Macaca mulatta: one gene and its partners. The protein of the gene in region 5 interacts with the protein of the main gene of each other region in a biochemical or structural test. Links are inferred from orthologs where the notes say so. Each region holds a gene or a part of one and is shown on either strand. Other genes may lie near its edges. The genes, in order: YOD1, NEDD4, PLK2, VAMP2, SNCA, CSNK1A1 and GBA1.

The links.
Region 1: the proteins of SNCA (region 5) and YOD1 form a complex in vitro, tested with the Homo sapiens proteins (2 studies listed by BioGRID, with this or other methods). The link is inferred for Macaca mulatta from reciprocal best matches to the Homo sapiens genes SNCA and YOD1.
Region 2: of the proteins of SNCA (region 5) and NEDD4, one has a biochemical effect on the other in vitro, tested with the Homo sapiens proteins (3 studies listed by BioGRID). The link is inferred for Macaca mulatta from reciprocal best matches to the Homo sapiens genes SNCA and NEDD4.
Region 3: of the proteins of SNCA (region 5) and PLK2, one has a biochemical effect on the other in vitro, tested with the Homo sapiens proteins (2 studies listed by BioGRID). The link is inferred for Macaca mulatta from reciprocal best matches to the Homo sapiens genes SNCA and PLK2.
Region 4: the proteins of SNCA (region 5) and VAMP2 form a complex in vitro, tested with the Homo sapiens proteins (3 studies listed by BioGRID and IntAct). The link is inferred for Macaca mulatta from reciprocal best matches to the Homo sapiens genes SNCA and VAMP2.
Region 6: of the proteins of SNCA (region 5) and CSNK1A1, one has a biochemical effect on the other in vitro, tested with the Homo sapiens proteins (3 studies listed by BioGRID). The link is inferred for Macaca mulatta from reciprocal best matches to the Homo sapiens genes SNCA and CSNK1A1.
Region 7: the proteins of SNCA (region 5) and GBA1 form a complex in vitro, tested with the Homo sapiens proteins (2 studies listed by BioGRID). The link is inferred for Macaca mulatta from reciprocal best matches to the Homo sapiens genes SNCA and GBA1.

Annotation. Positions count from the first base shown.
Region 1 is NC_133406.1:64,800,761-64,804,882, reverse strand, and holds the start of YOD1 (ubiquitin thioesterase OTU1), read left to right. Parts: upstream 1-1,322; 5' UTR 1,323-1,926; coding exon 1,927-2,269; intron 2,270-3,239; coding exon 3,240-3,943; 3' UTR 3,944-4,122. UniProt on the Homo sapiens protein: Hydrolase that can remove conjugated ubiquitin from proteins and participates in endoplasmic reticulum-associated degradation (ERAD) for misfolded lumenal proteins.
Region 2 is NC_133412.1:33,147,773-33,151,272, forward strand, and holds part of NEDD4 (E3 ubiquitin-protein ligase NEDD4), read right to left. Parts: intron 2,427-3,500; coding exon 2,305-2,426; intron 2,218-2,304; coding exon 2,147-2,217; intron 313-2,146; coding exon 217-312; intron 1-216. UniProt on the Homo sapiens protein: E3 ubiquitin-protein ligase which accepts ubiquitin from an E2 ubiquitin-conjugating enzyme in the form of a thioester and then directly transfers the ubiquitin to targeted substrates. Specifically ubiquitinates 'Lys-63' in target proteins.
Region 3 is NC_133411.1:66,282,121-66,285,723, forward strand, and holds the end of PLK2 (serine/threonine-protein kinase PLK2), read right to left. Parts: coding exon 3,460-3,603; intron 3,104-3,459; coding exon 3,006-3,103; intron 2,672-3,005; coding exon 2,542-2,671; intron 2,297-2,541; coding exon 2,056-2,296; intron 1,934-2,055; coding exon 1,804-1,933; intron 1,541-1,803; coding exon 1,430-1,540; intron 1,294-1,429; coding exon 1,102-1,293; 3' UTR 501-1,101; downstream 1-500.
Region 4 is NC_133421.1:9,677,680-9,681,788, reverse strand, and holds the start of VAMP2 (vesicle-associated membrane protein 2), read left to right. Parts: upstream 1-1,309; 5' UTR 1,310-1,410; coding exon 1,411-1,412; exon of another isoform or gene 1,413-1,845; coding exon of another isoform or gene 1,846-1,853; intron 1,854-1,927; coding exon 1,928-2,048; intron 2,049-2,531; coding exon 2,532-2,690; intron 2,691-2,773; coding exon 2,774-2,825; intron 2,826-3,433; coding exon 3,434-3,450; 3' UTR 3,451-4,109. UniProt on the Homo sapiens protein: Involved in the targeting and/or fusion of transport vesicles to their target membrane. Major SNARE protein of synaptic vesicles which mediates fusion of synaptic vesicles to release neurotransmitters.
Region 5 is NC_133410.1:99,154,553-99,158,657, forward strand, and holds the start of SNCA (alpha-synuclein), read right to left. Parts: upstream 2,801-4,105; 5' UTR 2,612-2,800; intron 1,968-2,611; exon of another isoform or gene 1,902-1,967; intron 1,669-1,901; exon of another isoform or gene 1,465-1,668; intron 1,293-1,464; exon of another isoform or gene 1,248-1,292; intron 765-1,247; exon of another isoform or gene 631-764; intron 197-630; 5' UTR 172-196; coding exon 51-171; intron 1-50. UniProt on the Homo sapiens protein: Neuronal protein that plays several roles in synaptic activity such as regulation of synaptic vesicle trafficking and subsequent neurotransmitter release.
Region 6 is NC_133411.1:158,512,786-158,516,731, forward strand, and holds the start of CSNK1A1 (casein kinase I), read right to left. Parts: upstream 2,801-3,946; 5' UTR 2,314-2,800; coding exon 2,191-2,313; intron 1,521-2,190; coding exon 1,414-1,520; intron 1-1,413.
Region 7 is NC_133406.1:111,758,248-111,761,747, reverse strand, and holds part of GBA1 (lysosomal acid glucosylceramidase), read right to left. Parts: intron 2,985-3,500; coding exon 2,760-2,984; intron 2,056-2,759; coding exon 1,892-2,055; intron 1,523-1,891; coding exon 1,406-1,522; intron 1,312-1,405; coding exon 1,206-1,311; 3' UTR 553-1,205; coding exon of another isoform or gene 338-552; 3' UTR 246-337; coding exon of another isoform or gene 84-245; 3' UTR 1-83. Other genes in the region: metaxin-1, read left to right, coding at 84-245, 338-552. UniProt on the Homo sapiens protein: Glucosylceramidase that catalyzes, within the lysosomal compartment, the hydrolysis of glucosylceramides/GlcCers (such as beta-D-glucosyl-(1<->1')-N-acylsphing-4-enine) into free ceramides (such as N-acylsphing-4-enine) and glucose.

The DNA of each region.
Region 1 (4,122 bases), on a different chromosome or scaffold from region 5:
AGTGGACTATTCAGTAGGCGCCTTGAGAGGGGGTGTGCCCTTTGAGTGATGAGAAAATGCTGCAAAGATTAACGCTCTCATTACTGAATCCCAACAGAACCTCATTAGATCCATAAAAGGGAACGTAAGCTTTAAAGATGTTTTTGCTAGAATAAACTACCACAACACTTGAGCTAATTATGCCTTAGGGTGTATACATACCCCGTTCCACAGGTCAGACGCTGTAACCTAAGAAACTCAACCACTCTCATCGTTGAACCAGAAGCTTCCCTGGACCCACCCATACACCCCAGTGGAATTTTTTTTTTCTTTTTTTGAGATGGAGTTTTGCTCTTGTTGCCCAGGCTGGAGAGAAATGGCACGATCTTGGCTCACCGCAACCTTTGCCTCCCGGGTTCAAGCGATTCTCCAGCCTCCGAGTATCTAGGATTACAGGCATGCGCCACTACGCCCCCCTTATTTTGTATTTTTAGTAGAGACAGGATTTCTCCATATTGATGAGGCTGGTCTCGAACTTCTGACCTCGGGTGATTCACCCGCCTCGGCCTCCCAAAGTGCTGGGATTACAGGTGTGAGCCACCGCGCCCGGCCACCCCAGTGGACTTCTAACCGCTCCTACCTTCCCTCCTACCTACCTCCCAACTCAGGCTGTATCATCTGTTGTAGTGTCTTGAAGAACCAAGGAGGAAAATTGCACCAGCAGAAAAAAATTGAGTCATGAAAGATGTGAAAAGATAGAAACATTACATATCATTTATTCAGAAGCAAAGTCTTTTACAGTGGAGGTGAGTTTGGACCAAGTGAACTACACTTTTCATAGTTGCCCCAGTGGGCCCGTTTGATGCTTGATAAACACACTCTAGACAAGTGGGACTTGCTGTCTGGATACCGGCTGGATAAAGAACAATGAGTATAGATTTCTTGGAAAATAGACATATAAATTCAGGGATGTCTTTATTCCTCCTTCGCCTGGGAATTAAACTCATTCTTCCAAAAGTTCAAACAGTTATCTCCTCTTTGAGACTTTTTACAACTCCCAGAGTGCTCTAGTTGCCCTCTCTATGTCTATACAACTCTGTCTTTATTCTTTCAGCAAGTATTTGTTGAACATTTTTTATTTGCGATTCACAGTCCTGGGTTCTAGGCACACACGGTTGAAAAGGTACACATAATCTAGCATTATCACGTTGCTTTGAAATTCAGTGGCTGTGTGTCTCACACCCCACCCTGTCTCCCAACTGCAATCAATACTTGTTACAATGAAGGCAGGAATGAAGTCTTCATATTTGCATGCCCAGGAACTGAACTGGAATCTGATGACACGCACTACATGACTCCTCCTTACACTGCCACCACCTGAATGAGGCAGCTGCCCTGGGCCCAGATGCTGACCTCATACTGTGCTTTCTGATGTGGCAAATAGACGTTTTCAAGCAGTCCCAGGGAGGCAGAAAGGCCAGTCCTTTGGCCCCTGGAACCTCAATGAGTCAATGTTTAATGCAGCCACGAGTCTAGTCACAAGTATAATTGTTTTTGACTGGTCCTTTGACTCAGTGACCATTCCTGGCATTCGTTTGCGTTGTGAACTATGATTCTGTTTCTCCTAATGTAGTCTGGGTGTAGCGTGGAAGCCCCAATTTAATAATTTCCGACCTCACTAAGTGCAAGGTCACATTCCAAGCTCCAGAGCTTCATTAAGGAACTCCTTCCCCCGCCCTCTTTTCTTAAGCATATATGCTACCGACGCGGAGGGCACCTCACTCGCTCTACAAGTAGCAAGACCCGTTGTCCTTTAGGAATACGGAGGTTTACATCTTCGTTCTGAGGGTGGGGGAAAAATCAGTTGCCACTTTAAAAGAGTTCGCGCTTAAGGCAGAAGCCGCGCCGAAGCGTCGCGAGAACTGTAACAACCCGCAACTTCTCGCGATGTTTGGCCCCGCTAAAGGTCGCCATTTTGGAGTCCACCCGGCGCCTGGTTGCCCCGGCGGCATCGCTCAACCGGCTGCCGGGACCAAAGCTGGTCCCGCGGGTGTCTGGCCTGTGGGCAGCCGGACCGACACGATGTGGCGGCTCCGCTGCAAGGCCAAGGACGGCACCCATGTTTTGCAGGGGCTGTCCAGCCGGACCCGGGTGCGGGAACTCCAGAGCCAAATTGCCGCCATCACCGGGATCGCCCCCGGCGGTCAGCGAATCCTCGTCGGATACCCTCCCGAGTGCCTGGATCTCAGCAATGGGGATACCATTCTGGAAGACTTGCCCATCCAATCTGGTAAGGAATCAGGGCAGGGGCCAGGGAAAGTCCCGGGAGGACGGAGAGGGGCGTGAGAGAGAACAGAACACTAGTCAAGGCAAGGTGGCTGTGGGTCGGCGGGGGACTTTGAGGCCAGGGGCGAGGATAGATCAAAGAACAGAGAACTCTGACGGGGGCCGGGGCAAGTGTCTAGCAACTCCTTGTCTTGACACAGGGTTGAAAGGGAACCCAAAGGCTTGAAGTCCCCCTTCCCCAATCCGCTTTCTGCTCGGCTTTGAAACTATCCCATTTTGTTTTCCGTCGGCGTCCACAAAAATATGAAGAAGTAGGGCCTATTTTCTCTGTCCTTATGTCTCTTTTCCCCTGTATCATCGATGAGATCTCAAGGATGCAGGATTTTTTTTTTCTTGGTTCATTTTTGCAATCCCCTTCATAGATACTTCGTTTGACAGGCATACTCATTTTCGAGTCAGCTTTTAAACACCCACTGAAAGCCCTTTCAATTTCTAACCAGTAGCAGTTATTTTTGTGCCATATCAAAACTTGAACATCAGTGTTTATAATTAAAAGCTTTCAGTTGCTGTATCAAGGACGCTGTAAACACTCAGAGTAGATAAGTTCCCAGAGAAGGAGACCCCCCTAGCGGCCTACTCTGTAGTGAGCACCTTCTGTAAAATACTGTATAAGGAAAGGAAATTTTGTTTTTGAAATGTATCTTTTTAGGTAAGCTTAAAGTTGTTTACTCCAGACCGCTTCACTAAATTGGGATGCAACCTGAAGTGTCTTTGTTCTTTGTTCTTTTTTCATCTTTATGAAAATTCAGTGAACAAAGATTGTTACTGGTAACTTATTTGCAAAGCTGTCTTCTCTTTAATAACCCCAGTTTATGCTTTAACTCCTTCAGTTTGTAATTTACAGACTTGGCTAGTGAACACTCGGTTTCTTCTATAATTTCTCTGCAGATCGGGATTTGTTTTATTTTTAACAGGTGACATGCTGATCGTTGAAGAAGACCAAACCAGGCCCAAAAGTTCACCTGCATTTACTAAACGTGGTGCTTCTAGTTACGTCAGGGAAACTTTGCCTGTGCTTACCAGAACCGTGGTCCCAGCAGACAATTCTTGCCTCTTTACCAGTGTGTACTATGTCGTCGAAGGAGGAGTCTTGAATCCAGCTTGTGCCCCTGAGATGAGACGCCTCATAGCACAAATTGTAGCAAGCGATCCGGACTTCTATAGTGAGGCAATACTGGGAAAAACAAATCAAGAGTACTGTGACTGGATCAAAAGGGATGACACTTGGGGAGGAGCAATAGAGATATCGATTTTGTCCAAGTTTTACCAATGTGAAATATGTGTAGTGGATACACAGACAGTAAGAATTGATCGTTTTGGGGAAGATGCAGGATATACTAAAAGGGTTCTGCTTATTTATGATGGCATCCACTATGATCCACTTCAGCGTAACTTCCCTGATCCAGATACACCTCCTCTGACCATTTTCTCCTCTAATGATGATATTGTTCTTGTACAAGCACTGGAATTAGCAGATGAAGCTAGAAGAAGGAGACAGTTTACTGATGTCAACCGCTTCACCCTGAGATGCATGGTATGTCAGAAAGGATTAACTGGACAAGCAGAAGCAAGGGAACATGCCAAGGAGACAGGCCATACCAACTTTGGAGAAGTGTGATCTATGCATGAATGAGGGTTGAAGTCTACTACCTCACAGATCCAGAAGGCTCTGGGTTTTCCAATAAGCTGTCGTAACCCTAAAGAACAAAGGACACAATGCTTGAACCATCCTTTTGACTTAAAACCACTAAGACACTGAAATTCCTTGTTAAGATTAAAATTAGTGTGCAAGTTTAC
Region 2 (3,500 bases), on a different chromosome or scaffold from region 5:
TTAAAAGCTAAGAAAACTTAAAATATTAGTTTTACTAAAATAAATATGGAATGAGTCAAATGTTAAAGAAAGCACAAATTCTTGCTGAGAGACAGTTTTTGTTACTGGAAAATAAATGTAAAAACAGAGCCTAGGAATGTATTCAGTGTACGTATTAACATCGAAACATTTGTTTCACAATTTACGTGCCATTTTAACTGATCAAAATTAACAAACCTGTCCGAAAAGTTCTTCATCTATGATAAACCTGAGGTCCAATTCTGTTGGGTCATTTTCAAGAATCCATCTTAGGGAATTGTAATATTCACTATCCTAGATGGGAAAAATTACGTATTTAAAATTTGTACATATAACACACCTGAAATTGCAAAAAAACAATATGTAGAGGGGCTGAGTAGTTGGGTAAAAGATGAGAGGTCAGATGGACATCCTTTACTTACACACATAAACAAAAATGTATGTGTGTATGTGTGTGTATTACAAAAAGAGATGGATGGTAAGGGCAAGAGTAAAAATGCACCAGTCAATCAATCAATCAAGTGGTGCCTACTGAAAAGTTCAGAATCTATGTTTATGTGGAAGCAGTGGAGGTACAGATTGTATCATCCAGTTAAAGGAATGAATACAGAAGTTTTCAGATAAAACCTAACTTTTGGCTTTGGATATCCAGGAGCACTTAGCACATTCCTCATATGCCTACGTGACTATAATGTTTTATTTTTATTTTTTAATTTAATTTTTTTTTTTTTTTGAGACAGGGTCTTGCTCTGTCCCTCAGGTTGGAATGCAGTGGGGTGATTGTGGCTCACTGCAGCCTCGACCTCCTTGGCTCAAGTGATTGTCCTACTTCAGCCTCCTGAGTAGCCGCGACTACAGGCATGCACCACGACACCCGGCTAATTTTTGTATTTTTTGTAGAGACAGGCTATCACCATGTTGGCCAGGCTGGTCTCAAACTCTTGACCTCAAGTTCCACATGCCTCAGCCTCCCAAAGTGCTGGGATTACAGTTGCACACCCCTGTGTCCGGCACTGTGTGTGAAATGTTTAAGTAGCTATGAGGAGGCCATTGTTTATACCCAGCCCGAGTTAAAGAAAAATCTCTAAATAAATATAGAGGCTCAATGAACCAACTCAAATAACCGTGCAATCTTACGATTTATAAAGAAGCACACTGTTTGTGCTGTTAATATGTAATAAGAAAATAAAAAATGAACTTGGTACTAAGGAAGATGTCCTAGAATTCATGTGTACACACATCGTGTGAGGCTATTCAGCAGCACAGGAAACAACATGGCTACAGTCAGGGGTTTAATCCTTGGGCTTCTGTTTTTTTCTAGGAGCCTAACCATAATGCTTTGCCTTTCGACTGCCATTTAAAAAATATACACCATATGGTCGGGCGCAGTGGCTCAGGCCTGTAATCCCAGCACTTTGGGAGGCCAAGGCGGGTGGATCATGGGGTCAAAAGATGGAGACCATCCTGGCGAACACGAAACCCCATCTCTACTAAAAATACAAAAATTAGCTGGGCGAGGTGACGCGCACCCATAGTCCCAGCTACTCGGGAGGCTGAGGCAGAGAATTGCTTGAACCTGGGAAGCGGAGGTTGCAGTGAGCCGAGATCACGCCACTGCACTCCAGCTTGGCAACACAACGAGACTCTGTCTCAAAAAAAAAAAAAAAAAAAAAAAAAAAAATATATATATATATATATATATATATACACACACACACACACACATGCAATATTCATCATAAAAGATCGTAATGCAAATACTGATTCCAAAGACACATAACTTGTACAACCTATTGAAGTATTTAGTGGGATGTTTACTGTTATCTATAACTTACTCTGAAATGCATGAAGAAACTAAGATAGGCTGATGGATAGACAGACAAGTATGTGATACAGTAAATCTAGAAAAAACCAATTGTGAGTAGTGGATATACAAGTGTGCGGGGTAAAATACTTCCATCTTTATTAAACGTTAGAAAATTTTCATAATAAAATGTTGAGGAAAAAGTTAATTTGTATTTTGAAACATAATATATTAATTTCCATGTCATTAAAAGCAAATTCCTCAAAATGTTCAAGTTACTTATTAAATTATACTTTGTCTAAACTATAAGTGAAAAAGACATACCACAGATTCCATATCATGAAGGGTTATTGGTTTGTGAAGCATCATCTTGTAAAATGGGCGGATGAAAAAACCTTGCAAAAAACCAAATACATTTAGGATGATTACCAAGTGAAAGACAACAGGTAATTACATTGTAAAAGTTTATACTTAATACTAACCATCCAACAGTTTGCCATGATACACTGCCATTCCAGCTACCCGACCAATAAACTTGAAGTAAGATAGGTGATCTTCATTACACAATCCAGAGTTTGGATTTATCTGTAGGGTATAATTGTCCCTGTAAAGACAACCCCATTTAAATACTTCATTTGAAACACTTGAATATGACAAATAATTATAAATAATCTTCCTCTTTTAAGAGTTGTTTACTACTGTTAGAACCACATTCCTCCACTGAATTTAATGGTTTTAAAAATAGTAATTTCTGTCAAAAAGTGGAAATAACCCAAATGTCCTTGGCAGATGAATGCATAAACAAAGTTTTGTTTGTTTGTTTTCGAGATGGAGTCTTGCTCTGTTCCCCAGGCTGGAGTGCAACGACATGGTCTCAGCTCACTGCAACCTCCGCCTCCCAGGTTCAAGTGATTTCCCTGTCTCAGCCTCCCAAGTAGCTGGGATTAGAGGTGCCCACCACTACGCCTGGTTAATTTTTGTATTTTTAGTAGAGACAGGGTTTCACTATGTTGGCCAGGCTTGTCTTGAACTCCTGGCCTTGTGATCCACTTGGCTCGGCCTCCCAAAGTGCTAGGATTACAGGCGTGAGCCACCGCGCCTGGCCTAAACAAAGCATTCTATGCAAAAATAATGGAATATTATTCAGCCTTAAAAAGGAAGGACATTCTGATACATGCTACAACATGGATGAACCCTGAAGACATCATGCCAAGTGAAATGAGCTGGTCACAAAAAGACAAATATTGAATGATTCCACTTATGTGAGGTACCCAGAGGAGTCAAATTTACAGGGACAGAAAGCAGAATGGTGGCTGCCAGGGAATGGGGAGCAAGTGCTTACTGGGTACGGAGTTTCATTTTGGGAAGATGAAAAAGTTCTAGAGTTGGATGGTGGTGATGGCAGCACAACAATAGAGTGTATGTAATGACTCTAAATTGTATATTTAAAATGGTTAAAACAGTAATTTTTTTTTTTTTTGAGACGGAGTCTCGCACTGTCACCCAGGCTGGAGTGCAGTGATGCGATCTCGGCTCACTGCAAGCTCTGCCTCCCAGGTTCATGCCATTCTCCTGCCTCAGCCTCCCAAATAGCTGGGACTACAGGTGCCCACCACCACGCCCGGCTAATTTTTTTTGTAGTTGTAGTAGAGATGGGGTTTCACTGTGTTAGCCACGA
Region 3 (3,603 bases), on a different chromosome or scaffold from region 5:
ACATAAAATGACTTATTCACAAAGAATTTCTCACTACTGGAATTATGTGCTAGTACTGCCAGCGGCTCTGGAAGTGTTTAGGCAGGTTTATGCTGAGTAATATGTTTAGGTGGTGCATGCATTCTAATTCAGAGTTTTGCCCATATTAAGATAAACTTCCTGTTGCCTATTGACAACAACAGAGATCTGTTTACTCTGGCTTTATCTCCAAGCTAAACAAGTTTTAAAGAAATACTAGAGAGAAATTGGAGTATTTCTTTAATGTAGGAGGCTTATATTTTGGTTGTAACAAGAATGGTGTTCTCAAGCTAGATCTACCCTGAAAGTTTATGATTGTACTTCAGGTATTAGACTTTCTAGAAACTGTGGTTAGAAAAAATTAAAGATCTAACTTTCTAGTATGCTTCTATACTCAGTGGCTTCTTGGCACTGCTTGGCATGACATTATCAAAAAATGTCATGATGTGGTGAAGAGTTCTACTAAAGACAGGAAACTATTATTTCTGCTTTTTCATACTCTTTATTGCCAACAGTTTAAAATGGTCAACATAAAAAAAAAAGACATTTTGATAATAAATACTGCTCTTTGGGCTGTAATAAATAAAAAGTTTATTAACAAGGAATGCACTTTTCCAGCCACAAGTATCTTCAAAAATTAATGGAAAAAAAAATTATATATGGCCATAGTTCACAGTTACGCAGCCAAAAGCTGCTCCAATTACAGCCTTTAAACAACATGGGAGCTTCCTCCCTTCTCCCTCCCCTTCAGGAAGTATATTCACAGTTCCAAGTCCTCTGGCTGAAATGCTCTCAACAGAGAGAATTTAAGAATCAATGCACCTTTCTGCAAAATTGTCTGAAAAACCTTTTAAAACAGGTATCTCAACGAAAACTGCATTCTGGTTCACTCTTGGATTGTCCAAAGTCAAGAACTGTATGCCTTAGCCTGTTCTGGTTCCACCCAGTCCAGCAGGCCACAGGGGAATTGTTTTCGTACCACCACATGTCCATCTTCTTCAACATGCTCTAGATCATTCTACTGGCTTCCCTGTAGATCTCACAGTGGAAAAGAGGAGTCCCGTAGGGTCCATTCGAAGTCTTTTAGTTACATCTTTGTAAGAGCATGTTCAGGGCATATTCCATTCGATTTTTTAATTCTAATGAACAGCCAGACATCAGCAGAGTTGTCAGTCTGAAAGTCGTAGATATCCTATCTTCATTGATGTAAGTGAGAAGGTATTCTTCATTTTGGCTACAGATGATTATTTTTGTATGATCATGGTAGAAATTCACCTTAAAAAATAAACATAGATATTAGATCTCTCAAAATATTCAAGAATTAGAAAAATTCAGTCAATTACTAAACTGGCTAGGCACAGATTTTTCTGTGTAGGACCTAAACATGCGCTTTCCTGAAGAGTTCATTTACCTGAAAGGTGCCATCATTAAAGAGCATCATTAGGGCCTTATCAGATTTTAGCCACTGAAGGAGGTAGAGCCGAGGTCTTCGAATATCAGTAACACTAGGCAGATCTCCACCCTGGAAGAGATTAGGAGAGTGAGTTAGTGCCTACAAAGATTTTGTAGCATGCACTCTATTATTATTCTAAGAAAATCCTCTCAAACTTAAGCAAGCATCAGAGTGGCTTTGGAAATCCCTGCCTCCACCTCCCAGAGATTCTGATTCAGTACATCAAGGAGAGGACAGGAGAATCTGTTTCTAACAAGCTTCAAAGTGATGCAGATGCTACTGCTCTGTGGACTACACTTCAAATGTCACCACTCTAAAGTCACGGTACTTACATCCATGAGGTTCTCCTCCATGTAATGAGAAAAGTATTTCAGCACCGTCACTTGACTAATAAATTGCTCAGGAGCATCTGTTGCTGGGAAAACTGAGCATTGGCCAAGCTCTGCGTAATAGTGAACTGTTCTATAAAAACAGGAATGAAAGGGAGAGAAGAGGAAAAAAATAGAAGCAGTTAATCACTGTTTTTAGATTTCTTTAGTGCAAGACTAGAGAACTGACAGGATTTCATTAATTGATACACTTACTTTTTGTCTGGAAGGAGGCTCATGTGAGCACCATTGTTGAAAAGGACACCGACGGTGTGGTCTGAAAGCTGGTACCCGAAGCCGTATTTGTTAGAGTAATCAACCCATTTGGTGACCCACTGAAATGATGTGCTCAGCTGCTCTTTGGGAATGCAATCAGCTTCTGGCATGTTTTCCAGACATCCCCGAAGAACTCTTGCCACTGTGTCTGCAACACTTCCCATCGTACTGTCTTCAAGGCCTGAAAAGGCAGAGAGAAATGTTTCAAGTTATACAATATTTTAGCAATAAAACCTCAGGTTTGGTAGATGCTAAGTTTCACTCCATTAATTCAAAAGACATAGAACTCAAGATTATTTTCCAATTCCGGTAATCTTACTACTTCGATGTTAGATTAAGCTACAAAGTAAATTGACTTAAATTATTATGTATTTAGCAGTGGCATTTAGAGTTTTGTTATTTAAAATATGATTGACAACCACTTACATTCACTGCTGCTGCTGCAGCTGCCAAGCGTCCCTCTGACTATCATCCGAATAGCATCCCCAATCTGCTGCTTGTTTTCTACTGCGGGTGTTCCAGACCTGGCAACTGTGGTGGTAGGTGGCTGGAGCTCCTTAGGAGAGAGAAGATTTATGCAATGAGTCAAGCATCTAAATTCATTTAAGGTTGAGAATTCCAGATTAAGATGAGAGTGAGGCAATTGCTGGGAAAGCTTATCAAAAAGCAATGGACACAAGCCAGATAAAAGATAACGCAATAACGCGCTTGCATGCACTGTAAAACTGAAAGACTTCCTTTTAGTTTTAACTTCCCTTTCAAAGGGTTTGAAGAAAAACTTCAGTAAATATGACATTTTTGAACCATGATAATCATAGTCCAAGAGCTATTTAATAAAGAGTGGACGTAATGTAAAGTGTGAATATCTACTTTAATCTTTCCCAACACACCTCATCTGTCCTGTGTTTGCTGGGTTGCTGAGTTATTGAAGTCTTTTTCAAATCATGCCTAAGCTTGTAGATGTCTTCATCTTCTTTAGACACTCTATCTGTATATCAAGAAACAGAATTACAAACATTAGTCTATCTTAACAAGGTAGGAACAGGGTTAGCCATATCTTCTCCTTCTTGCATTACTGACCAACTTATGACCATCCTGGACAAAAATAGCATTTTACCTTTGCCATTAGCTGCAACTACCCCAAAAGCCCTCTTTAATGTTTGCAAAATACAAAGCTATCAATCACAATTCAAGGTATGGATTTATTATGCTATAAATATCAACATTTAAGAATATGCAAATATGGCCAAGTTATGCTAATATAAAATTCTCTTTTAACTAATTTAAATATAAATTTAAATATAATATTGGATACAAAAAGGAAAAGAAGTCTTGTTAACTTACTATGTGTGTCAATATATCTTGCTTTGTCTTTTTTGCCACCAAAGAGAGCAGCAGCTGCTTTCTTAAAGAAATTCTTAGCTGGGCTTGATAAGTGGAAATCTGGAACTGTGTGACAACAGCTGGAAGACAGTCTGTCCGGAGTGA
Region 4 (4,109 bases), on a different chromosome or scaffold from region 5:
GTAGTAAGCACCCCCACCCCAGGTTCAAAGGGCCTCGCCTAAAATGCCTCCTGTACCCTTGAGGCTTGCTTTGATCCCCTGCACTCCACCAGAGCGACAGCTCCCCTGGTCCCATCTTCTCTGACAAGCTGGGTGGGAGTGTACACAGCCTCTGGGTGTGCTTAGAGGGCCTAATGGAGATAGGGATAATCTTCCATGTTATCCACATCAAGCCATTTAACGAATATGGATTTAGTATCTACATATGCAATGTATTTGGGGTCCAGAGAGAGGAGGGCAACTGTCCAAGGTCACACCTGCGAGGCGAATACGCATGTAAAGCAGCACCTTGTAAACTGTACCCACTGTGCCTACTACTAAAGAAAAAAAAATGAGAGAGAAAAAAGCCTTTTGGTCCCTGTGCCTGGGACCAAAGCCTGAGCCCTCTCCTGCAGTTGGGGTCGCTGACCCAAGCCTGGGGCAAAGCTAGGTCTTGGCCAGTCAGCAGCCACCACGTGAAGCAGCCCCTGCCCCCATCAGCCCCGGCTGCCTTGTGCCCTCCTCCTCGGGGTCTTCAGCTCACCCCACCTCAGTCGGGCCTGCTCCAGCTGTTAAGTACCCCTGGTCTGAACCTCAATCGTGAGGCGGGGCACCCCCCTCCTCACACCCTGTAGACACTCCCCGGTCCTCCACCCCCTGGACTTGTTTCGGCGGGAAGAGCCTGCCTCATCTTTTCTTCCCACCCTCCTACCCAGTGGCCTGGGATCGCAGGCTTCCTCTGAGACATCCACCAGCGGGGTGATGGGTTGAGACCAACCTCCTCCACTCCCCTCCACCCTAGCAGCAGGGTCCCCGCTCTCGATATTGCCCCAGCGCCTGTACTGACCCTCTCTGATTTCCCAACCCCAGCCCATTCCCAGTGCTGAAGGCGGGTCGCTAGGTGCTGGGACCTGGGCGCGGGGCGAGACCTTGGGCTGTGTGGGATGCAGGCTGGCTTATTGGGTTCACGATTCAGGGAGTGGTCTGGGGGTTAGGTGCGGGGCCAGGCTGCTGTGTGCCCTAAGGGGCAGGTGGCAAGAGGTTTGGGGGCGGCTGTGGAAGGCTGTGCTCAGACAGGGCGGGGTGACGGTGGGTTTAGGGAAGCCGCAGCAACCCGCCTGGTGGTCCCGTGAGTGCCCAGAGAGCTGCCGGGGCACGGTGGCGCCAGACCCGCAGTCCCGCCCGGCACGACCCCAGTCCCGCAGCGCCCCGCCCCCGCGGCCCCGCTCCCGACGCGTCGCCCGCGGCGCCCCGCCCCCGCCCGCAGTGCCCGGATGCGGGTGACGCGCGGCCGCCATCTTTCCGTCCCGGGCAGCCAGCGCCAGTCGGAGCCAGCGCGAGTCGCCGCCGCCATCACTGCTGCTGCCAAGTCCTCCACCCGCTGCCCCCGCCATGTGAGTCGGCCGCCCGCCACCCTCACCGCGCTTCCCTGCACCGGCCGCCGCCCTTGGCAACCGGCCGTGGGGAGTGCCCGGGGTCTCTCCCGCGTTCCCCGCGCCCCGGGGCCAGGCCCAAGCCGGTGACTGCGCGCGGGCGGCCGAGAAGCCCAGCGTCTCGGGCTGGCCGGCTCGAGCGATGGCCGCGGGAAGGAGCGGACCCTGTGTCCTCCTGCCGCGCCCCGCCCCTGTCACCGCGGCCGCCTGTCTTTTCGGGTCGACCCCGATCACATCTGTGAGGTCGCCCTCATTTGACAGGCGGGGAAACTGAGGCCGGGGGGAGGGGAGGCCTCGCTCAAGGTCACGCAGCTCATCGGTGGCGAGGCTGGACCTGGACCAGGGCTTCCATCGGGTGGCCTTCCTCCCGAAAAGGAGGACTGGAGGGACGAGGATGGACAGGTGGATGGGCGGAGCCCTGGCTGCAGGGCCGGGAGACTGCAGGCCCTGGGTCTTAATCCGTCCCTGCTCCTCAGGTCTGCTACCGCTGCCACGGCCCCCCCTGCCGCCCCGGCTGGGGAGGGTGGCCCCCCTGCACCCCCTCCAAACCTCACCAGTAACAGGAGACTGCAGCAGACCCAGGCCCAGGTGGATGAGGTGAGTGTGGGGGGAGTCAAAAGCAGTAGAAAGGACCCTGGGGGTTGGCGTTTAGGTGTAGGGGCCCATGTTGGTTTGGGAGTGATGACAGTTCACGCCTGTGGGTTTGCGGACAAAGATACTTTGCCCCATCCGTGTCTCCCTGTCAGCACGCACTTGGAAGGGTGCTGGGGGTGTTAATCAGCTTTGCTAGCCTGGGGTGTGCCAGCCTAGGCAGGTGTGCTCTGGTGATGGACAGAGCGCCTGAGGCGCCATAGAGGGAGGGTGTTGCTATGATATCTGAGATGTCACCAGCAATCCCCTGATGTGTGCTCCTTGCATGTCCCCAGGTGTGCTAGGCATGTACTGTGTGTGTCCTTGGCATGTTAACCTGGCAGCATCAGGGTGCATGTTCCATGTGTGGCACGGTGGGCACATGTTTGAGGATTGCCCTCATGAGGTGGGCCTTGGCACACCCCCTTGCCCCGTGGGCCCTTCTCCCAGGTGGTGGACATCATGAGGGTGAACGTGGACAAGGTCCTGGAGCGGGACCAGAAGCTGTCGGAGCTGGACGACCGTGCAGATGCACTCCAGGCAGGGGCCTCCCAGTTTGAAACAAGTGCAGCCAAGCTCAAGCGCAAATACTGGTGGAAAAACCTCAAGGTAAGGATGGGGACAGGAAGGAGGACTGGCAGGTGAATGGGGTATCATAGTTAGTCTCGCTGATCCTCTCCTCTCACCCCCAGATGATGATCATCTTGGGAGTGATTTGCGCCATCATCCTCATCATCATCATAGGTGAGTAGGCTGGGAATGGCCGGGGCCCTTTCCCTGGAGAGGTTTCCCCAGTGGATTCTGGGTTTTGAAGGTCATTAACCTAGTTTTTACTCTTCAGCCAAAAACACATATAGCTGCTAATGGCAATTCTGATTCACCTAGAGCCAAAAACTTTGATGTTATTTAGCCTGCATTTTGCCTGGTTCTTGGCAGTTTTGTTAACATTTAGAAATATAAAAGTTGGTGTATCCATTGAGGACCCTTTGGGCCTAAGAGCCCAATCTGAGAGCCCTGGAATTGAGGAGTGGGAGAAAGGAAAGGCCCAGGGGCTTGAGACATGACCAGGAAGCCAACCACCCCATTATTTGAGAGCTTGTGGCCTCAGGCTCAGAGGATTAGGGTATGTGGCCTCAAGGCCATACCATGGAACTGAAGGGACCTCATAACCTACCTGTCTAACCCCTTGCTTTGTAGATGGAGAAACTGAGTCCAAGAGAGGGGTAGGGGTGCCAGCCAGCTGGGGAGTGGGGAGGATTGGAGCAGGGCCAGGCCTGACACACTGCTTTCTTTCTTTCTCCCTCTCTCTCTCCCCTCTCCCTCTTCCTCATCTTCTTCCCCTCTCTCCACAGTTTACTTCAGCACTTAAATCCCTGAGGAGTCTGCCCTGCCTAAAGAAGGGCCTCTCCCCCCACCCTCAGCCGTTCCTCCACCTCTCAGCCATATCTTTCAGCCCCCCTTCCCTGGATCCGTGCGTGTGTGTGTCCGTGTGTGTGTCCCCCTGTAAATAGCCAGCTGTTATTTATACATATATAATATTATATATATTTGGTCTGTTTGTAGTTTTATTACTAGAAGATTTTTCTGGTTGTCCTTAACACCCCTTCCTGAGGTTCCCTTCACCTCCTCTCTCTTGCCTGCCTTCCCTTTCCCTTTCTTCCTGACTAGCCCCAAGTCCCTTCATTTGCATCTGCTATGCAATAGTCCCTCTCCTCTCCTTCTTCTTCCCTCAGATTTAGCTGATCCTTCCCCCCACCCTGGCCTTCCTTTCCTCCTCCCTCTCCCGGTCATGCTCCCTCTGCCCCGCCCTCAAAAAAGACCACAAAAAACAAAAAGCATCTGTCCAGGCTTCCTTAGGTGCATCTTGTTTGCATCCAATGGGAGGCTCTGAGACTGGCCCCACTTGGTCCTAAGAATCCCAAGGTCTTTGGGAGTGTCCAGCATGTTAAGTAGCGTATCATTACATACTGCCATCCCTTTCCATTTCTTTTTGTTCCATCACTCTTCTCTCAACTGGTGTTTCTTTTT
Region 5 (4,105 bases):
AACCCATCAGTCATGAACCAACACCAAAGTGACATTTGGGGTTTACCTACCTACATAGAGAACACCCTCTTTTGTCTTTCCTGCTGCTTCTGCCACACCCTGTTTGGTTTTCTCAGCAGCAGCCACAACTCCCTCCTTGGCCTTTGAAAGTCCTTTCATGAATACATCCATGGCTAATGAATTCCTTTACACCACACTGGAGAACATAAAATACACTTTGAATGAGAACTTTTGGGGGAAAATAAACAAAAAACACTGAAAAATCATGAGAAACCCTCCAAAGTGTGAGACTCTTTTAAGTGTACACTCATTTAACCATTGGACAAAGCAGACATTTTTAGCTCTGGCATTAAAAATTTAGCATCTCCCATCCATCTTGGCTAGTAAAAGTCTAGCCACCTAACCATGGATTAGGATGAATCCTCTGAGTTGTTAATACTGCATTTCAGAAGTGGAGTTGCATGAAAAGAGTCACTCCTGTTTTAACTTCCCGGGGTCTAAAGGGTAACAGTGTGAGTTAGAAGCATGGAAGCTGGAGGCTTAGGGTCTGGGGCATCCTTAACATGAATCCCAGAAGAAGGCTAACAGGTTGATGGTGGAGAGGCGTAGGCAAGAGAACTAACTACTCACTCTGGGTGTGGTTCAACCTCAGGCAAACAGCGAGCCCAAGGGTGCTGGTTCTAATACATCCGAGCATCCACCCCCGCCCTCAGATATCTACCCTGAGCAGGCGGCGCTCACACTCGCGGGCCGTCTCTAACCCTGCGCCAGCCACCCGAGGGGGCGTTCTCAGCATCCACCCTAGCGGACCCCGCGCCAGCACTTGTTAACCCTTTACCACCTGTTGACTTGGCCTCCCTGCACTTCCATTTCATTATTTGCCAAAGGCAGCTTGCTTACTTTACAGAGAAAAACCAAGAGAGCGGGCAGACGGATTTCAGGTAAGAGAGAAATAAAAGTTGGATGCTTACGCTCCAGGGAGCATCCTCGCGTTTCCCGGGGAAAAGCGGATCCCGGAGACGCATCCTAATCTCTCAGCCCTTGGGGAGAAGCCCTTGACAGGACGAAAGCCAGGTCAAGTCTCTTTCCTTAGGCTCCCCAAAGGGACAAGTACTCACCTCCCAGAGACCTGGCACAGCAGGTCCTCACCGCAGCACCACCCCCTCCTGGTGCCCACGACCATTCCTCTCCCACCCGGCTTTCTCCAGGATTTCCAAAGACGCCCGTTTAGATCCACAGGTACTTACCTGTGTCCCTCTGCTTCTCCACAACTCCGATTCCTCCCTACCTCTCTTTAAAAAAAAAAAAAATTAAACAATTCCCAAATAATATTTAATAGGGAAGAAGGAGGAAAAGGAGCGCACAGGAAGGGCGGAGGCGGCACCGGGAGGGGGACGGTCCCCAGAGGAGGCCGCTGTGAGCCGACGACGGGAGGCTGGGGGCGTGGGAGGCAAACCCGCTAACCTGTCGTCGAATGGCCACTCCCAGTTCTCCGCTCACGAGGATGGAGAAAAAGGCAGAAGGTTTGAAGGGAAGGCGTGAGGGAGCGCTCAGGACGCTCTCGGAGGGGCCGGGCCGGGGTCTGCGCTGCAGCCCGCACGCACCTCACTCCCGCGTCGCGGCGCTCGGTCGCTCGCCCCCTCTCTCGGGCCCCTTCTGGTCGTCGCCGTCCTCCTCCTCCTCGTCCTCCTCCTTCTCCTTCTCCTCGGCTCTCCGCCCCCACCGCTGATTTGTCAGCGCCTCTCCACGCTCCCCTCCCAGCGCTCGCTGCTTTCCCTGCAGCGTGCTCTTCGTTCCCTATCTCGGATGGGGATGGGGCAGGGGGCGCAGGGTGAACCACCAATTCCAGCCGCCTGCCTGGCCGCGCAAGGCGGGAAAGTGGGGGCGCTTTTGCGCCTCACCTCAAGTTCAGGGTCACGGGCACTCTTGTGGCGATTGGGAGCGGTTGGGCTTGGGCTGACGACTCTCCCTCTTTCCCATTCCCCTCCCTTCCTGTCCCCGCCTTTCCTCCGGGTCCTCCCTGGGACCACCCCCTACCCCTCGTCAGAGTCGACCTGGGAGAGCTGAGGGCCTGAGGGTCGACCACCCAGAGCAGAGCCTATCCTTTGGGGAGACAGGCAGCGCAGGGAGGTGGCTCACACCGCACCGCCGAGAGCACTTTGCCCTCGCATCGCTGACATTTAATCACGGTCACAGGCTACGTTAAGGGTCGCTTTAGTTCAAATATCCTCAAGATTTTCGTTTGCTCTTAATCCAGGTCGAGCTCGAAAGGGTCCCGCGGGTGAATCGGAGACTACTAAGGAAGAGTTACAGGTTGAGGAGGCAGGAGGAGGCTCAGCAAATCCTCTTCCCACCCCACTATCACCATTTTCCTTTCCACCAATCAGCGCCTGCCAGACGCTGATTTTCCCATCAGCGGAACGAGGAATAAATATTCCCCAGCCGTCTAAAACAAGCGGTCCTAAGGCTTTTCGCTCTAGAAATGGGACTTACTTTGCAGACCTAAGTGCATGGTCTGGTAGACAAATCCAGCGTGATTTACCCTACCAGACCATCATATCCAATTTCTTTTTCAGCCCCTTCTGAAAGGGAGATGCTACACGCCACTCACCTTTCTGACTTCTAATTCTCGTTGCCCTCAGAATTGACATCCCCTTTTCTCTCCCCCGACCCACCACATGCACAGACACACAGACGTACACACGCGAACCTCAAGACAATTTTTGCATCGCTTAACACATTTTCACCTCTTTCAGAACTGGAAGACAGCTATTCCTGGATCACACCAGAATGGAGAAGCAAGCTCCTCCCACTAGCAGAAAGCCTTTGCTTTCTGTGCCTGGATTCCGAAGATTAGTTAAGCACTGGTGGGGGCCGGCGGGGGGGGCGGGGACAACAGCTCGTTTTTGCTGTGTTTTTTAAAAATTGTTTTTATGTTTGTAGCTAATGCTTTGTCTGATTCTTGCACTCATTTGGATTCTGAAATTTGAGTAAAATCAAATGTAAACATACAAAACAACTTTAAAACCACAAGGAATAGTAAACAAATGATTATACATGAAAGACATATAGAAGATAATGCCTATGTGTTCAGTGGAAAATAGAAAAACATGAAAGTAAGATTACAAATTTTTATTACTTAAACTCTTCCTTGAACTATTGGTCTGCCCTTTGGAAAAACAGACTTTCCATAACGCAGTAGCTCATATTAATAGTTTGTGTTTGCTTAGGACCAGAGCAAGAAGGTTGGACTTGGGAGCTAGTTTGTTGTCTGGCTTGGAGACCTTGAACAAGTTATGTTCTCCTTCTGTTTCCAGTTTTATTTTTTGTAAATGAGGAGATGAACTCAGGTGATCGCCCTATATTCAACTTTTTGTTATGGGAAATATTCAAACATACGCAAAAGTAGAAAGAATAAAGGACTCCCATGTGAATATCACCCAACTTTTACATTTTTTCTATGCATGGCATATCATGTCTCATTCATAAGTCCACTCACTTTATCACTACCAATCCTCCCTATTTTTTTTCACAAAATTCAAGCTTTATATACATCTTTTCAACTGTAAACATTCAGTATGCATCCACAAAATTTAAGAACTGTTTAAAAATAACCACAATGTCATTAGACGATTCTTTTAAATTTCAGTGTAATTTACACCTAGTGAAATGCTCAGATGTTGTGTCCCTTTAAATCAGTTTTGAAAAAACCATGCATTGGTGTAACCCACACTATTTTGAAGACACAGGACATTTTCATCACTCCAGACAGTTACCTTGCACCCTTCATGTGCATATTCTAGAATGTCATAAAAGTCTAATCACGTAGTATAAACTTTTTTATATCTGTCTGACTTCTTTTACTCAGCATAGTATTTGTGAGGTGATTCATGTCATTGCATGAATCGGTGGTTTGTTTTTTATTGCTTTTTGTTGTTTCTTTTTATTATTGTTAATAGTGTAAGTTTTCCATTGTGTCTTATTACAACTAGTACTTCAATAGGCTATTACAACAATTATTTAATATATTATTTCATATGACATATTTATAGTATAACAGTGACCTCTTTGAGACCTGGTGCTTTGAGTCAAATAGGTAAATAAA
Region 6 (3,946 bases), on a different chromosome or scaffold from region 5:
CTGGCCAACATGGTGAAACTAAAATACAAAAATTAGCTGGGTGTGGTGGCGGGCGCCTGTAATCCCAGCTACTCAGGAGGCTGAGGCACTAGAATCGCTTGAACCCAGGAGGCAGAGGTTGCAGTGAGCCAAGATCGTGCCATTCACTGCACTCCAGCCTGATCGACAAGAGCGAAAACTCAGTCTCAAAAAAAAAAAAAAGAGTCTCCAGCAAACAGTAAACACCATTCTCACCTATTCTGAATATTTTTGCAAAAGGTATTTTAGATTGTTGCTGAAAAATAGCTTGGTTTTAAACTATATTTTAGTCTCCATTCCATGAAGAGGCTCTTTAATCCCAAAAGTTAAAACATTACTCTAAAACCCTCCAAAGTAAAGTTAACCATTTGACAGAACAATGTCTTTCTATCTCGTCATCTTTTATCCTCGTTACTGCAATTTGCACTCACCAATATTCCACACCAACAAAGGCCGCAATTTCTCTGATATTAAGATTTACTGCCAAACTCAACAGGTTAAAATTACTTATCAAAGTGTGGCTAAGTGATTAAGATTTCTTTTAATACAATTGATTTGAGTAAATTTTAACATAGTTGGTGCTGCTCAAACTGCCTTTGCCATTACCTATACAAATTTAGTCCCGACTGAAATGTGCCAAATATGACCATTCACGAAAGGAAAGCGTAATTAACACTTTTAAAAGAACCACAAAGGATTTTACATAGTATAATTCAACAATTTCATGTCACATCTGCTGCAGAGATCACAAACATTGTCACTATGCCATCTCCTTCCTCGAACCCCCACACCGCCTCCTGCAGCTTTATTCTTGGCTTTTCAAAGGTTTAATCCACTCGGGGCTGCTAAAGGAGGAATCAAGGAAGCATAATTTGTGAACCCAAGCTGAGAAAAGGGCAGGAATATGGGGTTGAGTCACGTCGTTCCGCCATTTTCTAAGCGGAGGAGGAAGACATGTTGGAACAAAAACACAACAAAAGAGCAGCCATTTCCCAAGCCAGCTCCAATAGCAACTCGAACTGACACTGCCGGGTCGCTTCAGCACCTTCAAATCCACTTCACTGGACAAACCTAAGAACATCAGACGTGCCGCCGTAAAAAAGGCAGCAGCCAACCCTTCCGCGTAGGGATCAAAGATGACCCGCACGCCTAACTGCAAACGAAAGCCTCGGGAAGAGAATGACGGAAGCGAAATGGAGCAGTGTAATACAATGAAATAAGTTGGCAAATTGAAATTTACTCAGTGATTGCGATGACTTACAGGAAGGCACCAGCTACAAGGAACCCAGGTAACTAAAACAAGACCCGGATTCAGCTGGTCTCATTACCTGCCTCTACCCACTTCCCCATTCCGTGCTTCCCTCAGCGGATCGCCTACATGCACGGGGTTCTTACCGTATGTGGGGGATGCCAACCCCACCTTGAAGAATCTTATAGAGCTTGCTCTCGTACAGCAACTGGGGATGCCTGGCCTTCTGAGATTCTAGCTTCACTGCCACTTCCTGCAGGGGAAAGAGGGGATGATGGCATCAACATCCCTACGGATTCAGTGTCATTTAGGAAAGGAGAGAGACATTAGCAAAACTCCAAGTCGCGACTACAAGGAAGAAGTGAAAAGCTGGAAAGAGAAAGCTCTCTGTAATTATAAAACGAGGCAACCAGCCTCAAAGGCCTCTTCAGGGGGTAGTGACGAAATCGTACGTCCTCTAAAGTGCAGGAAAATGATTCATCCAGAAAAAAGAAGCAACCTCTGAACGTAGTGAGAGGTTTTTAAGGAACTAGGCAATCGGAAACTGTTCTAATTGGAACAAGAGGCCCAGTAGGATTAAAAATTAAATAAAAGAAAAGCAAAGCAAAGCATGGGAATCACAGAAAGAGGATTTTGCCGTTTCCACCTTAAAAGTCGGTTAAAAAAAAAACAGCTCGACGAAGGGACATTTATGGGACGTGTTTAACAAGCTGGGAAACTAGTTCCCCCAACCTTTCTATCGGGTTCTTGACCCTTTTAGGGAGAGAGCGGGCGAGGATCGCAAGCCAGGAAAACTAGCTCCCTGGACTCCCTGGCGAGTGCGTGCGGTGAGGAAAGGCCCGAGCACTTTGGGGGTGCGCGGTGGTGGTGGGGGGAATGAGGAAAAGCGCAGCGTTATCGTGAACCCCACCCCAGGTGATTACCTCGCCGTTGGTGATGTTGATCGCCAGATAGATGTCCCCGAAGGAGCCAGACCCGATCTTCCGTACCAGTTTATATTTCCCTCCGACAATGAATTCGGCCTTAGAGCCGCTGCTACTCGCCATCCTGAGAGACGAAGATGGAGTCTGGGGCCAAGCCCCGACACCTCTGGGAAGACGACGGAGGCCTCTGGGGCTCCTACACTGGGCAAGGCTACGGAGGAAGGCGGCAGGAAACAGAACACGGAGGCCTTTACCGGCGTTCGGGGCCCAGAATCAGCCGAGCGGAACCTGATCACCGCCGCTCGGTCAGGTTTCTTTTTGCCAGGCCGCAGTTTGTGAAGGGCTTCTCGCGGTTACCAGGCTGGGCCACTTGTTTCTCGGCGGCCGCCGCTGCCTCGCTTGCGCGGCGACGTCGCGGGCTGGAAAAGGGGCGCGGTGAGCTAGGGCGGCGATACAGCTACCACCACTGCCGCCGGCTCCGGCCCTGAGGGACCCCTGTCACTCCGCCGACGCCGCCATCTTGTTACTCCAGCTCCAGCCAACACAAAATGCCCCCAGTCCCCGGGAGCCGCTTCTTCACGGCGCAGAGCACTCTGGGAAAGGGATCTGGGGCGCTCGCTCCGAAGGATCGGCAGCGAGAGGGCGGAACCGGATCCGTGAGAGTCGCGGCCCACGCTCCGAGCGTCACCCTGTCACCGCCCAGTAGCGCATGAGCGCTGCAACTCCTGCTGACTGCGCAGGCGTGCCGCGGCCTGCCTCACCCCGCCCCGGGCTTTCTTCCACTTCCGGTCGGCGGCGGCTCAGCTGGTGTTACCTGTTACTCGCCTCGGACCCGCAGGGTCTCTGGAAGGCTGAGTGGCCCCAGGCCTCGATGTTGGGAGGAGTCACCTTCATGTTTCGTGTCAGGCCTCCTTAGGAGTTGGGTATTGACCTTTGCTCTTTGAGGCGGTTTTTAACCTTTGATCTTTCTTCTGGCCGCTCCCCAGGACCGGCCTATTCCAACCCAGTTTCTGTTTGGAAAGAGGCTATCGCCTCTGGTGGAGAGGAAGAGAAAAGCAGCCCGCGTTGAGGAATCGTTCAGGGCTCTCGGTTATAGCAAAACCTAGCTAATTACCCTTCATAATTAGAATTTTCTTCTCTACTACGGAGTGTTATAGACCCTCTTTCCACAGGAGGGGAAAAAAGAAAGAAGCCGGAATCCCCCTGCCGTCCTACGTCTTTGCATTATTGCCTCACTACCACTTTTGATCTTCAGAAGAAAACCCAGTATCTTGTTCATAGTGAAGATTAGGGATAGATGGAATCAACAGAAAATTAATTTAACAAGAGTGAAAAAACTGTTATGCCCCCCAACCCCACCAAAACAACAACAAAGAATCGTATGTTGGTCATGTTGAAAACCGCAGTATTAACCTGAACAGAGTAGAGGTAACTATTACAAAATTTAATTGACAACATTTAAAGCTACACGGAAATTTTTTTCTTTTTTACTAAAAATCGATCAGAGAATCAAATCTTGACCACATTTTGTATTACAAAATTTGACCTGGGAAAATTGGGTTGAGTAATAGTAATGTTCACAAAAGAAAGCTCCATGGTTTATGCTATCATCTTAAGTCAGACCTCAGTCGTAAACATTTAAGCTAAGCCTATCCTAAATAAAATTTAATTAAAATAGAAATGAGGGCCGGGCGCAGTGGCTCACGCCTGTAATCCCACCACTTTGGGAGGCCGGGGCGGGCAGATGACTTGAGGT
Region 7 (3,500 bases), on a different chromosome or scaffold from region 5:
CCTCCCAGGGCTGACTCTTCCTCCAGCTCCATCTTTACCCCTTCTGCCTCAGTGCTTCTCCTCCATCCCACCCTTCTCTCTCTGCTCCAGCCCTGCCTCCTTGGACGCCTTCGTCTTTAGCTACTTGGCCCTGCTGCTGCAGGCAAAGCTGCCCAGTGGGAAGCTGCAGGCCCACCTGCGGGGGCTGCACAACCTCTGTGCCTATTGTACCCACATCCTCAGTCTCTACTTCCCCTGGGATGGAGGTAAGGGGCAGATGGGAGGGGCAGCCCTGGGGAGAGTGGGCAGGGATCTGAGAACTAGTTCCCCTAACTCACCTTCCTTCCTTGACCCTCAGCTGAGGTACCACCGCCACGCCAGACACCAGCAGGCCCAGAGACTGAGGAGGAGCCATACCGGCGCCGGAACCAGATCTTATCTGTGCTGGCAGGACTGGCAGCCATGGTGGGCTACGCCTTGCTCAGCGGCATTGTCTCCATCCAGCGGGCAACGCCTGCTCGGGCCCCAGGCACCCGGGCCCTGGGCATGGCTGAGGAGGATGAAGAGGAATGATTTGTCCTCACGCTCCCAGGACTGGTTTTTCTACTCTCGTGCATTCCAGAGGCCCCCGTGCCTCCTCTTTGTTGGTACAGCCGGACACGGGGTGCTGCCCCCCAGAATAAAGCCACTCACGCTGACTGGGCTCAAACATTTTCTCCTTTAAGAGCTGCCATTTTTCCTGGCTAGTCCCACAGGAACCATCTGGCTGCCTGGGCACACCTGCTGCTGCTTTAAGGCTTCTGCCCTGATGCTGACACTGCTGCTCCATGGGCCCAGTTCTGCATCTCCAGGAAACACAGTCTCCAGTTTTGGGCCTAGCTTTCCTAGTCTCTTCTTTTCCTTACCCTCACCCCTCATCTTGTGTTTGTACGACAGTGAGCTCACTCTAGGCCTGGGCCCAGGCCCCGTTTCCAAAGCAAGCAGCACACAGTGCACGTTCACATAAGCATGGGGGCTGGGGGGACACTGGGGCTTACTGGTCTTTTTCTAGGGGCCTCTAGCCCCTGGCAATACCTAGAGGGGAAAGTGAATCACCCAAACCACTGCCCTTGGGCTTATGTCGCTGTAAGCGCACCCTGGCCCTGCTGTGCCCTCTTTAGCCACAGACAGCGTGTGAGCTGACTCTGTCCTTTTAATGCCCAGGCTGAGCTTGAGTATCCACTCCATCACTGCCGACGCCACAGGTAGGTGTGAATGGAGTAGCCAGGTGAGATCGTCTCCAGGAAGCCCACGGCAGGATCCTTGATGGTAAGAGGCACATCCTTAGAGGAGCTAGGGAGTGGGGAGGAGAAGCTAAGAGTGTGATCCTGCCAAGGCCCCCGACCCTGTCTTCAGCCCACTTCCCAGACCCCACTGTTGCCCTCACCGGTTTAGCACGACCACAACGGCAGAGCCATCGGGATGCATCAGTGCCACTGTGTCCAGGTCGTTCTTCTGACTGGCAACCAGCCCCACTCTCTGGGAGCCCTCAGGAATGAACTTGCTGAATGTGGGAACAGATGGTCAGAGTCCCTCGGGGTACCGCCCATGAAACTTTCATCTAAGAAGTCACCCACCCGCATACCCACCCCATAACTCCTGCAGAAGCTCTGCCCTGGGTCTCTAGACCTGGAGCCATGCTGCTGGGCACTGACCCTGCTTTTCTACATCGCAGTCCAGCCTCAGGCACTGGGGTTGTCTGTTGCTACCTAGTCACTTCCTGCCTCCATGGTGCAAAAGGGGATGGGTGTGCCTCTCCCGAGGTTCCACCCTAAACACCTTCCTGCTCCCTCATGGTGTAGAGTGATGTAAGCCATCTGATGTAGGAGATGATAAGCCTGATATGGAATGGGGGTGCCCGCCCTCCACTCACCTGAAGTGACCAAGGTGGTAGAACATGGGCTGTTTGTAAAACGTGTCCTTGGTGATGTCTACAATGACGGGACTGTCGACAAAATTACGCACCCAATTGGGTCCTCCTTCGGGGTTCAGGGCGAGGTTCCAGTCGGTCCAGCCAACCACATGGTACAGGAGGTTCTAGGGTAAGGACAAAGACAAAGAGACAAAGGCTCAACACTGGGGGTCCCCAGAGACTGTAGGTAAGGGTCACATGAGGGAGAAGTGGCTGTGGGTAGCTCAGCCCTGTGAGGGGCACATTACTTAGCTGCTAAGGAGTTGGGGGTGTGAAGATCGAGGCATCTCAAGGGGATCTGAGAAGCCTGAGGCAAGTGCAAGTGCGTCAGTATTTGCAAAAGGGGCTATGAGCCGGGCGTGGTGGCTCACGCCTGTAATCCTAGCACTTTGGGCGGCTGAGGTGGGCAGATCACAAGGTCAGGAGATCGAGACCATCCTGGCTAACACGGTGAAACTCCGTCTCTACTAAAAATACAAAAAAATTAGCCAGTCGTGGTGGTAGGCACCTGTAGTCCCAGCTACTTGGGAGGCTGAGGCAGGAGAATGACGTGAACCCAGGCGGCGGAGCTTGCAATGAGCCGAGATCGTGCCACTGCACTCCAGCCTGGGCGACAGAGCCAAACTTTGTCTCAAAAAAAAAAAAAAAAAGGGGCAATGAGGTGTGCAGACCTGTGAAGGAAAGGCAAGACAGGGAATCATGGTTCCCCAGTTGCCCAAAAGGGCAGGCTAGCTGGGCAAAGCTGGACAGGAAAGGTCTGTCAGTCTTTGGTGAGACTACTAAGGGGTCTGAGGTGTGCTTTGCAGGAAGGCAGACTGTGGTGGCTTACCGTGATGATGCTGTGGCTGTACTGCATCCCTCGATCCCAGGAGCCTAGCCGCACACTCTGCTCCCAGAACTTGGAGCCCACACAGGCCTCTGAGGCAAAGAGCATGGTGTTGGGGAACAGGCGGTGTGTCTCCCCTAGGGTGGCTTTGGCTGGAGCCAGAAAGTCCAGGTACCAATGTACAGCAATGCCATGAACATACTTAGCTGCCTCTGGGTCTGTCAGTACCTGCAAAGGAAGAGCAAGTGACCCTGGACCTTGCACACAGGCTTCTGGAACTTTCAATTCCTCTTGTAGGAATTCTGGCAATGGGTGATGGGAAGAATGCAACTAGAGAGGTTTGGGGAGATATTTTGTTTTGTTTTTGAGACAGGATATCACTCCGTCACTCAGGCTGGAGTACAGTGGCACAATCACAGCTCACTGCAGCCTTGACTTCCTAGGGTCAATTGATGCTCCCGCGTTAGCCTCCTGAGTAGCTGGGACTACATGGGTGCCACACCCAGCTAATCTCTGTGTGTGTGTGTGTGTATGTGTGTGTGTGTGTGTGTGTGTGTGTGTGTATATACATATATAGTTTTTGGTTTTTTTGTAGAGATGGGATTTCACTATGTTTCCCAGGCCGGTCTTGAATTTCTTAGGTTCAAGTGATCCACCCACCTTGGCCTCCCAAAGTGCTGAGATTACAGACATGAGCCAACGCCCCGAGCCTAGAGAGGTTTTTTTTTGTTTTTTTTTTTGAGA